Linked DNA regions of Alligator mississippiensis. The protein of the gene in region 2 interacts with the protein of the main gene of each other region in a pairwise test. Links are inferred from orthologs where the notes say so. Each region holds a gene or a part of one and is shown on either strand. Other genes may lie near its edges. The genes, in order: NATD1, ADAMTSL4 and CPNE7.

Region 1 (3,741 bases), on a different chromosome or scaffold from region 2:
TGAAGTGCCACCGTGCCAGCACACGCTCACACTGCTGGTTCGCCGTACCAGGAGTTGTATCTGGAATCACGGAGGGCCAAGTTTTCAGCACAGGAGCCGAGGCCCGACCCTCACAGGATCAGCAGCAGTCATGGGTGATGCTGCCTGCCAACCTGCTGAGCTTCCAAACACCGGTCACTAGGGTCCAAACCAACCTCTGCGGAAGCCAAGGGACATTCCCAGACTTCCTTAGGGTTATATCAGGCCTGCAGCCAACGGAACGGCCTGACACTAGCTTATTCACTTCATATTTTTGCATAGGTGGTTTCCTGCTGGGTTGAGGTTCTCTCGCCAGGCTCTTTTCCAGCTAAGGGTCACTTTGTCACCAGACTGACTGGCAGGCAGGGCGGGGTGGCTCAGAGCAGCCCGAGCTTTTGCAGGTGACAATCAACCGTCAGACTGTCAGGATGGACGCTAGCACAGAGTCCACTCCTAGCAGAATGGCTGCTTGTGGCCTGTGAAAGCTGCCCTGCCCGACCTCAGGACAGCACAGCCAAGCACCTCTGCAATATCTGACTGGCGGAGAGTATTCAGGGGTGCAATGCTGAAAAATTAACTTCCTCAAAACAACCGTCTGCTCTGAGCCTTCCCTTCACTGTCGGCACGCAGAAGTGTTAAAACGGGGAGGCCAACGTGTGCCTCTGCACACTTCAAAAGGAAACATGCTGCATTGTGCGCGCACTCACAAAAAGAGATCAAAACCGAATCCAGTCTGCTCCTCGGCTTGCTCATTTTCTCAGTCACCGGGCACCATTTAGTCTCCTTTGCTGCCTATACCCATTGCTGAGCCTGAAGACTACACTTTGTAATTAGTGGTTTGAGAGGGGGGAAGTTTCTAAAATAAAAAAAGACACAAGCTATTCTTGTTGTTTTATTGAGAATGCCTCCTACTCCACGTATAATTTCTGAACTAGCCATCCATTTTTATAACCATCTACCCTGCAATTTCTGTACAGCAAGAAGATAGGAGAGAGAAAGAGAATTAGATTTAACTATTAGAACTATCACAGATCAAGATTTTGCCAGACAACAGGAAGCGTTGTGGGGTGCCTTTATCTCATTTCTTACTGCAAAATAAATGCAAGTGGGGGAGCTACCGGAGCCCACAGCAAACGGGATCTTTGCGGCAGGGTCAGGACCTGTTATCGCTAGTGCAAACACTTACACACAAGTGGTCCTACTGATTTCAAGAGGATTAGTCGTGCACCCGCAGTCTGCTGGACCGAAGCCTGCACGCGATTAGACTGAGGTGACCCTCCAGCCAGCCAGCTCTCCGCAGAAGGGGCGGCGGAGAGGACTTCAAATGTGTTGAAAGGAACCAAGCTTTAAAAGGGCCTCTTCCTGACTGCTGGATGTTATGACTGTACGCGATCCTCAAGACGCACGCATGGATGCTCCTCTTTGCTACCGTCAGCTGTCCCATTGAAACAAGTGAAGTTACACGTGCACTCACACGCTGACGGAACCAGGGGCTAATCCTGGTCTTCCTCTCCCTCCCAAGTTAGAAATGCTTCTTAAAAAAGAAAAAAAAAATATATCTCTGCAATCTGGCCCCTTAGCAGTTCCACTTCATGCCGCTCCCACAAAGCGCCAAAGCCGGAGGTCACCCCCCAAAAACTCCCTATCAAGAATTTAAGCAGTCAAACCCGACACCTGCCTCCAGAACGTCCTTCGCGCCCCGAAACCACGGTGCGGCCCATCTCGCCTCGTGCCCCGAAACCACGGTACGGCCCATCTCTCGCATCCTGGCGCGACGCACAAGACAGGGGTTTCTTTCCGCTGCCCGTCAGAAAAAACGAAAGGGATTTAAAACAATCGCCCGCCGCCTGTCCCTGTGGGTTCAGAGTCCTAAGCTACCGGGCCACAGTTACTCAGGGCAGGTGGCGCGGAGGGGGCTCACGAACTCAGCGGGTTCACTGGGGGGGCTTTAATGTGCTAAGCCTGGCTTTCTCCGGAGGACGCAAGCAGCTGGCAGGGAGGGACAGGGTCAACCTTGGCTTGTAAAGAGATGCCGACGGAGGCGGACGGGGAGAGTCACAAGCGCAGCAGCCGCTTGGGCGAAAGCAACCGCAGCAGCAGGGAGGAGCGGGCGGATGACAACCGGGACACCCCCGGGAGTCCCCTTGTTTTGTCTTCGCTTGTCCCAAGCCACCTCCGCCAGCGAGGGGCCCCTGGGGGCAGAGTGGCGGGGCTCCTGCCGCTCGCCCGCGCCTCCCCACGGACAAGGAGGGCTGGGGGAGCTCGGGAGGTGCCCCCCCCCCGCTCCAGGCCGCTCCGCCGCCCCGGCCCAGGCTTTGTCCGGCGGGCGCTCGGCCCCCCGAGGATGGGGAGGGAGGCTGGAGCAGGGCTTCCCCGCCCGCCGCCGCGCCCGCCCCCAGCCTCACCGTTGAGCCGCACCGTGAACTGCCGGCGGCGGCGGTCGTGCTCCACGCGGATGGGGCCGGCGGGCTCGGGCGGGCCGAGCGCGGCGGCGTGGGCCATGGCCGGGCCGGGCACGGCGCTCCCGCGCCCGCCGCGCCGCAGACAATGCTGGGGAGGGACGGCCAGGAAATCAGCTGGGAGTCACGTGGCGCGCCGCCGCCAATCGCCGCGCGCCGCTTTTGTTTTGATACATTCCGGGCGGCTCTTAAAGGGACCCCCCCTCCCTCCGCTCAGCTCCGCTCCCGGCTAGTGCGGCTTGGTGTGAGACCCCCCTCCCCACTCTTGGTGGGACCCCGCCACCTGCCCCGCGTCCCTTCGGCTGCATTGCTCCTCGTTGTGTCGCCTGCCCGCACTGAGACCAGCCCAGCTCCGGCCTCCACTTACCCGGCTGCAGCCTGAGCCCATTGCCTCTCCTTGTGTCGCCTGCCCGCACTGCGACCAGCCCAACTCCACCCCCGTTGGAAGCGCCCTTCCAGGAGCTGGAGGCTGCTCTTCAATCCCAGCCCCAGACTAAATCGACCCATTTCCCTCAGTGCCTCCTCGCCCCCCGGCCCCCCAACCATTTTTGTTGCCCTCCTCTGGACTCTCTCCACATCCTTCTGTGGTGGGGGCCCAGGCATGGCCGCACCGGTGCTGAATAGAGGGGAAATCGCTGCCCTGCAGCTGCTGGAAACACTCCTCCTAATGCAATTTCGTCCTTCCGCTGCACGTACCCCAGGATACATCCCCGGGGTGGGTGCAGCTGTTCCCAAATGCAAGCGCCTTCCTCCGCTTCCACAGATGCTGCTTTCATCCCGGTGAGAAGTGGGCAGCGGTGTCACGCGGGGGTCGGTGCTCAGTCCAGTGCTTTTCAACATCCTTAAGAGCGATTTGGATGTGGGGGTGAAGAGCTCACTCGCCGTGTTTGCGGACGACACCAAGTTATGGGGGAGCGTGGTCACGCTTGAAGACAGGCTACAGATGCAGGGGGACCTGGACAGGCTGGCAAATTGGGCGGGTGGGAACCTGATGAAGTTCAACGTCCGGAAATGTAAAGCGCTGCATCTCAGGACGAGCAACCCCCAACACGCCTACAGGCTTGGCCACACCAAACTGGCTAGCACCACGCATGAAAAGGACCCGGGGGTAATAATAGACCACGGTATGAATATGAGCCGGCATCGCGATGCTGTAGCCAGTAGGACAAACAATACTCTGGCGTGCATCAATCGATGCATCTCCAGCAAACCCAAGGAGGTGATTCTTCCGCTCTACTCGGCACCGGTGAGACCGCGGCTGGAG
Region 2 (3,741 bases):
CTCCCGCTCCCGCTCCCGCTCCCGCCCCGGCTCTACCTGCTGCTGCCGGCGCTGCCCGGGCCGGCCGGGCGCGGGGTCCCGTCCCGGGCTCCTGCCGCCGCCGCCGCTCCGCCTCCTGCCGCCCGCGCTGCCCCGCCGCGGTGGGCTCGTCCCGGCCCCGGCCCCGGCCCCGGCCCGGCCCGGCCCGGCCCCGCCCCGCCCCGCCCCGCCCCGCGGGCGGCTCCCACGGCCCGCACCGGCACCGCCACTGCCTCTGTGCCGAGAAGACCCCGCGCTTGGGGGACACACACACACTGACCCACAGCTTGCACACCCTATCTGACACACTCTCTATACTTTCTCTCTCCAAAGAACGCACACGCGCACACACTCACACGAACATACAGCTCTACAGGGAACACACACACAACATACCGGAGACACACACACTCTGTACAGGAGAGATGCACAGACACACACACAGTCTACAGGGAACACACACACCTGTGCACACCCGCATCAATACCAATCTACGGGGAAGACACGTGCACACACACTCTGTACAGGAAAGAAAGACACATGCACACATGAACACACAGCTTTACAGAGTACACACACACAACATACACACGGGAGATGCACACGCTGTCTCCATACAGGGGAGATGCACACACACACAGTCTACAGGGAATGCACACACCTGTGTACACACACATCAATACCAAGCTACAGGGAAGACGCATACACACACTCACGCACACACACACACACACATGCACACACAGATCGACAGGGAACACACCTGACCCCCAGCTACAGGGAGCACACACAATCTGTGGGGAAGACCCCCCAGCCTACAGGGCAGACACACAGTCCCCCCATGAATAGCCCCTCCCGGCAGGGCCCAGCTGTGCTGGCTCCGGCCTTTCCTGACCTGCCCCGGTCTGGAGGAGGCCCCGGCCCAGCCCTGTCCCTGGTTCTCCCCAGCCCCATGGAGCAGATCAGGCCCAGGGCTTGTCCCAGCTCGCGTGGTGCTGCTTGGAGGAACCAGGAGACAACCCAGGCATCCGGGCTCCCACTGGGAGCAGAGGCAACCTGCGGCTTTGCACTGGGCAGCACAGGGCCCAGCTGGGGCAGGTGAAGTGCCACCGGGGCAGCAGCAGATAGACGAGCGCCCCTTTGAATCCAGGTGCACAGAGGAGCAGTTGGAAACGATTCATAAACCCTCAGCCCAGATCCCCCCACTCGCACTGGGTCTCGCAGAGCAGCTTCTCGCCCCCAAGCCGTCAGTGCTCTTATCCCCATTTCACACCTAGGTCAACCGAAGCACGCAGCAGGGGACAGAACTGGATCGAGCTCACTTGGCAGACTGGGGGGAGAAATGAACCCAGGTATCCGGCAGCCCAGTGCTCTGCTTCTCACGGGCACAGGAGAAAGTTACCCCTGGGGTGGGGAATGGCAGCACAGCGGTGGACAGCACGGGGAGCAGAGAGCAGAGCAGTGCATTGGGCAGGAGAAGGGCATTGGAGTGCCACTCAGGGTGGGCAGGGGTGTTTGCGGCCCACCTGCCCCCCACTGCTCCAGGGCCTGGGAAACCCCCCCTCCAGGGTCTCTGGCCTCTCCAAGGAACCAGCCCCTGGCCCACGGGGTGAGCGTGGCAGGTTATTCACTTGGCAGGGGTCCTGCAGGCGCTAGCCAAGACTGCGGCTGGAGCTGCAGGCCCCATGCAGGGCAAGAGACATCTTCCAAAGAGCTCCCCATGGAACCAGGCCAAGTAACATGCTCCCAGCCTGGTGACACCCAGATCAGACCCCCTTCTTGGAGGTCCCTTGAGATGCACTGGCTGCTGGGCCCGGGATCGCAGCCCTGCCGGCCCCACGGTTCTCCCCAGGGTCATGAGCAGCTGGGGGAAGGCCAGGAGCACGATGGCTTCCCAGGTGCTCTCTGCTCTCCCCTTCCCGCCGGCCCCTGGCAGCCCAGATCGGAGCAGGAACCTGAAACCAACCATCTCCCGATGGCAGAGATGCAGCTCCCTGGGCTTGGCATGAACTGCTGGCACCAGCCCAGGCCTGGCTCTCATCCCCAGCAGGCCAGGCTCCCCCCCACGCCAGGGGGCTGGAAGACAGGGGCTCAAATACCCCTTTTTGCCCCCTGATGCCATCCAGGGACCTCATCCCGGGTCTCCGCTAGAGCAAGGAGACCCATATCTGCTACTAACCTGCTGGGTGGCCTTGGTATTCTGCTGCCTGTGCCCAGCCCCCGCAGAAGCTAATAACCGAACATCCCTTGGGACCCCCAAGATGAGACGCGTGGATGGTTGGGGTTCCCCATTACCGTCTGGCAGGACCCGGCTCCTCTCTGGGAAGCATGAGATGCACAAACTCCCAAGCAGAGAAGGTCGGGGATGCTTTCAGTTGTGTGTTGGGGGGGGAGGGGAGAATAAAAGTCCTGCGTCTGTCCAGATAAGGGGGATGTTGCTATCAAGCCAGAACATGGCATTTTGGGACCGTGCCAGGTTGACCTGTTTGAAACGCTCTGAATTTTCCTTTCAAAGAGCCTTTGCAAAATAAGCCCGACCGTCCAGCAACTCTAACGCTGCAGAGAGTTAAAAGAAGGTCGCGCCGGGGACAAAAATGTCTCTGTCTTTATCAGCGACATGTTTCAGTGACTTCAAAATTCCTCCTTTTATCCCCCACCTCCGCTGCCCACCCCTAAAACACACATACATGCACAACGGGGCCATTTTCTGCCCACCTTAGAAGAAAAATCTGCAATCCCCAATTTCCAGAAAAGCGGGAAAAATCCAGCATCTGCTTGATGAAGAGCAACCTCAGCTGAGCCTTTCCCCACCGAGGCGCTTAGAAGTTTGCTAACTCCAGATGTTCCTTTTCAGCTGTTTTTTTTTTAATTTGGAAATAACTTATTGCTCTGTGGACGCCATCCAGCTGAACGCAGCAGTGCTGGTCTCTTACTATCCAGTTACTCTGCTGTATGAGGCTGGGGTGGATCGGGGCAGGGGGTGCATTGATGCCGTGCACCCCAAATTTAAACCAAACTACCCGGCCGTAGAAGTGGCATTTCTATTTGGGGAGTCACAACTTCTTGACTCGTTGGGCTCTTCCTTCTCAGCATTTCATGACATGTATTAACGACCCTCGCTCTTTTTAAACTGTCTCGATGCTCCGCTAATCAAGCTATCTGCTCTCCTGCAGTTCTGCCGCCTGTTAGGTGCTCCTGGGAACGGAGCTCTTATTTCGCAGCCCAGCTGACTGGTTTTTACCTCTAGCTCAAAACACAAACTGAGACGTGGGGACAAAGTTTTAGTAAAGCTCTGGACATGCTCTCAAAATGTATTGTTTTTGCCTCTGTTGCTGGGTTTTTTAAACACCCGGGGTATGATAGAGCAAATTAATGACCTTTCCAATAAAGAGGCCTGTGAGGTTCTTTGGGAAAATGTGATATCTTTTACTTGAGCAGCTAAATATTTGGAAAAATTGTTCTTTGCAAGCTTTTGGGCACAAACACCCTTTGTCAGGCAGATCCATTTGTTATTGCTTCCATCTTAAACTGCAGACTATAGCCCGAGGCTCCCAGCATATTTGCAATGCCTCTGGGGTTTTTTGACCCGGAGAAAGATACGTGTTGTGTTATATGCACCACACCGTCTGCACCCCCTGTTTCAAAATCCTAGATCTGCCCATAGCTATGCTATTACTCTCCAACACTGGAGCTGGGCTGGTCTCAGTGGGGGCAGATGACAGA
Region 3 (3,741 bases), on a different chromosome or scaffold from region 2:
AGAGCCGGGGAAGGTCCCTGGGGAAGCGTCGTCTCCTGTCCTGGCTCTTCTGCTGCCAGCCTGGCACGTGGCGCTGAGCAGCGCTGGGCAGGGGACTCGGATGCCGACTGCTGCCTCCGCTCGGATGCCGCTGGGGTGCCCTGACAGCTTGGCTCGTGGCTAGGGCCCGCCGGGGCTGAACCGGGCCTGTGCCCCTGACACCGACTCGGCCAAAGGGAGCTGGGCAAGGAGCCACGTGGCTGGCACCAGTCTCCAGGTCCCCCAGCAGCTGCTTGGCAGGCAGCAGTCGGGGTGGGGTGCCAGAGAAAGCCACTCGGCAATGCTGGAGCATCTGCACCGGCCCCTTGAGCAGACGGCCCTGTTCAGTGAATCGCAAGGGAGCAACACTTCCCCTTTGGGGGCAAAGCGGGGGCTGGACTGGACCTGCTGCCCTGTGAACCGATGGCTCCAGGGAGCCCAGTGCTTGCCCCACTGGCACAGGAGCATAGAAACTGCCCCCAGCCCAGCAGCTTGGGGGAACACCCCCACCCTGGAGCTCCCAGGAAACCAACCGGAGCTGAAGCCACCTGCTCCATCACGTGGCAGAAGTCAGTAACTGCACCTCGGCCCGGGAACCTGAGCCAAGGGGGCATGGGAAGCACGTTTGGGGGCAAAAGGGCAGCATTTGATACGCTGGAGCGCTCAGGACCCTGCTGGGGAGCAAGACCTGTCTGGGCCAGTGGTGAGGGGGGAAGCGGGAGCCTCACACCCAGCCAGGGGCCCGCTCATCCCCAAGCTGCATCTGACAAGTGTTCCTGGTTTGCGTCTTGGCCCCTTTCCACCTCTGGGGCCATGCGCTCCATCTGCTCCCCGCTCTCACCGCGGAGGGGCACGGTGCCATGCCGTGTTCCACCCCAGGGGCAGCTGCATTTCAGCAGGTCTGCTCCCTGGGCGCAGGGCAGGCCCTCCTCCTCCTCGATCCCCTTGGGCTTCTCTCTCCAACTGCTGAGCAGGGTGCCCTCAAGACCCACGAGTGCTACAACCACCAGGAACAAAGCGAGTGCACAGCAACGGCAGCGAGTACTCCCGGCTCATTCCTGAATCACCAGGCAGCCGCCGCCCCCGCACAGATGCTCGCCTTCTAGTAGCCAAGCCTTCGCCGGAGGGATGCGGGCGCAGCTCTTCTCTTGACCCAGGCAGCCCTGATCTTCCTCCCCATGGGGCGCAGCCCTGAAAGGGAGGCTTGCTCAGACTGCAAAGCAACACTCGGCACTAGTGGAGACAGCCCAGCCACACTCCCTACCCAAAACCATGCAGGATCTGGGCATGGGAGGGAGCATTGACAGCCCTCATATGCTCAGAAGGCAAGGGAAACAGCCCTCTCCCAAATCCGATGCCTTGGATGTTGAAAGCCGACTGCTAAGCAACACCAGACAAGCCATGCTGCCCTGGAAGCAAGCGACAGCACGGCAGCCTGCAGGGCAAGGGGTGAAGGACTGACCAGCCGGTGGGGGTCAGTGCTCAGGCAGTGCCCGAATGCACAGGGGGACTGGGACCCCGCGAGATCTGCTCTCTGCTGCATAGGAGGAAGCCGTCAGCAAGTACCAGCTCCTGTGCAGGAGGCTGACAAGGGGCTGAGGCAGCTCCTGGAAGCCTTCACCCCACCTCCATTTTAAATGTGATGGGACAGCCAGCAGCTTGCTTACTGAGGGCCCAGCCCCAAGTGTCTCGTCAGAGGGGGAATCGAGGACATCGGAAATCCAGCCCCTTGAAGCCAGCCTGCTGCACCCCAGTGGGCCCCCAAGTCCTTCTACTTCCCCCCAAACCTGCCTGGAGCATCCGGGACTGCGGGAGGGGAAGGCGTGGTTACTGTGGCACTAGACAGATGCCCCTCACCACCGCCAAGGGCCACAGCGGATGTCGCGCTGCCCTTTACAAGGGAAGCTAGATCCAGCCAAGCTCCTGAGTGGGGAAATTCAGCTCCGTCTCCAAGGCAAAGCGAGCAGGCTGCCACTAGAAGGGAACAGAATGGGGAGGCGATGTCCTCCCTCATCAGTCAGCAGCCATCTGTTCAGAGATCCCTCAAAGCAGCTGGGCTAGCACCGGAAACGGGCTGGCGGGGAACTTTTGCTGTGTAAATGAAAGGCGCTGCTCTAGGCTGCTAGAGCCCCTTCCCTGGCCCTGTAGGAAGAGGCCGCACATGCACCAAAACTAGGGCGAGGCCTGTGGTTGTGTGGCGTGGGGTGCACGTGCTCAGAGCAGACTAGTCAGGGGGAAAGGAGCAACCCCTGATGCCCGTGTGGCAGTGAAAGCATTGCCCCTCCTGGGTCGTCCTAGTCCCTTCTGTGTGGCCCAAGAAGACCCCACACCAGGTCACGGTCCTAGGCTCTTTTATTAACAGTTCGAAGGAGAGGTGCTCACTTCTTCTTCTCCACGTCCTGCTCTGCAGCCTCCTTGGCTCGCTTTGCCCGGATACCGAAGAGGCGTGCGTTCGCCCGGGCCATGCGCAAGCTGGCAAAGGCCTTGAAGTTCTTTTCGTCCTCCGAGATAACCCGGGCCTTCTCCTTCTTGTACACCTGGCAGGAGCAGAGCCAGAGCCAGGGGGTTACACACAGGGGCAAAGACTGCCAGAGACGCGCCGATAAAGGCTCAGCACTGACTTGCACGCGGCCACATGCTGAGACTGACAGGGATACCTCACCCAGGCCTTGTCCCATGCAGCTCCCAGCTCATGCCAACAGACAACCTCTAGCAGAGCCCTCCCATGGCCAGATCACACAGCTGCTGGGCAATGCCTCAAGAGCAGGAGTGGCTCCAGTGCATGCTGCACAAACCCACGGCTTCTCTTGGCCAGCCTGAGTGGGACTGGCCAGCCCCCTTGGTTGCAGAGACCTCACTGCCAATGTGCACAGCTGGGCACACGCAGCTGCTGGTGCGGCTCAGAGCCCTCCAAATGTCAGCCTGAATCCTCAGCGCAGAACCCAGGGCCGAACGACTCCCCCCAGCTGGAAGGCAGAGCTGTCTGAAGGGGAGCTGAGCTGCCATGCCAGTAGCAGCAGCCACACATTTCAGGTGGTTTCACACTGACAAAGCTGTGCTTAGAGCACTTTTAACACACGCTCAGCTGAGCCCTGCACTCTGCGGTGGCACAGGACTCGGCCAGCCAACTCCTCTCAGACACGAGGACAAGTTTAACAGACTCTTGTTCCTTTGGGTTCAGGAGCTGGTGCTGTTTGGGGACGGCACAACTTAACCGCAGTGTTACGTTGCAGCACTTGCAAGGGGGAAAAGCCATCAGGACAGACTGCTCTGCAGTCAGAGCTCCCATCCCAGCACCACCCAGAGTCAAGGAAGTCGAACAAAGGACAGGACTTGCAGTTTCACTTACACTCCTAATAGGCATAACAGGTCCGGACAGCTGAGTCGCCATCTTGAGCTCTTCTGCCTGCGGAAGAGAGGGGAGAAGTGACTGCGGAAGTCCGTAGAGGCCTGCAGGAAAGGCCCCTGCAGCAGCAGCCCTGAAGCCACCCAGGTCACCACCGAAACCAAAAGCCGAAATCCTGCCTGTGCATGGCTCCTGCTGCCTGGCTCTGGAGCAGGGTCCCTGAAGGTTCAGACCCTCCTGCCTCTTCTCCAAGCCTTTCATTCCTCACTCTACATCCAGCCTAGAGTGCCCAGAAACACACAAGCACAGACACTTGCCCTGCTGCATGCCTCTGGGGCACTGTACTGGCATTTCAGCAGCATCAGCCCAAGATGGGC

The links.
Region 1: the proteins of ADAMTSL4 (region 2) and NATD1 interact in binary tests that used the Homo sapiens proteins (3 or more experiments, as listed by UniProt). The two-hybrid records come from large-scale screens. The link is inferred for Alligator mississippiensis from reciprocal best matches to the Homo sapiens genes ADAMTSL4 and NATD1.
Region 3: the proteins of ADAMTSL4 (region 2) and CPNE7 interact in binary tests that used the Homo sapiens proteins (3 or more experiments, as listed by UniProt). The two-hybrid records come from large-scale screens. The link is inferred for Alligator mississippiensis from reciprocal best matches to the Homo sapiens genes ADAMTSL4 and CPNE7.

The regions. Positions count from the first base shown.
Region 1 is NC_081836.1:53,946,694-53,950,434, reverse strand, and holds the start of NATD1 (protein NATD1), read right to left. Parts: upstream 2,565-3,741; 5' UTR 2,521-2,564; coding exon 2,424-2,520; intron 1,819-2,423; coding exon of another isoform or gene 1,697-1,818; intron 1-1,696.
Region 2 is NC_081838.1:19,041,469-19,045,209, reverse strand, and holds the start of ADAMTSL4 (ADAMTS-like protein 4), read right to left. Parts: upstream 2,333-3,741; 5' UTR 2,198-2,332; intron 149-2,197; exon of another isoform or gene 37-148; intron 1-36. UniProt on the Homo sapiens protein: Positive regulation of apoptosis. May facilitate FBN1 microfibril biogenesis.
Region 3 is NC_081833.1:75,885,011-75,888,751, reverse strand, and holds the start of CPNE7 (copine-7), read right to left. Parts: upstream 2,269-3,741; 5' UTR 1-2,268. Other genes in the region: RPL13 (large ribosomal subunit protein eL13), read right to left, coding at 2,397-2,555, 3,368-3,424. UniProt on the Homo sapiens protein: Calcium-dependent phospholipid-binding protein that may play a role in calcium-mediated intracellular processes.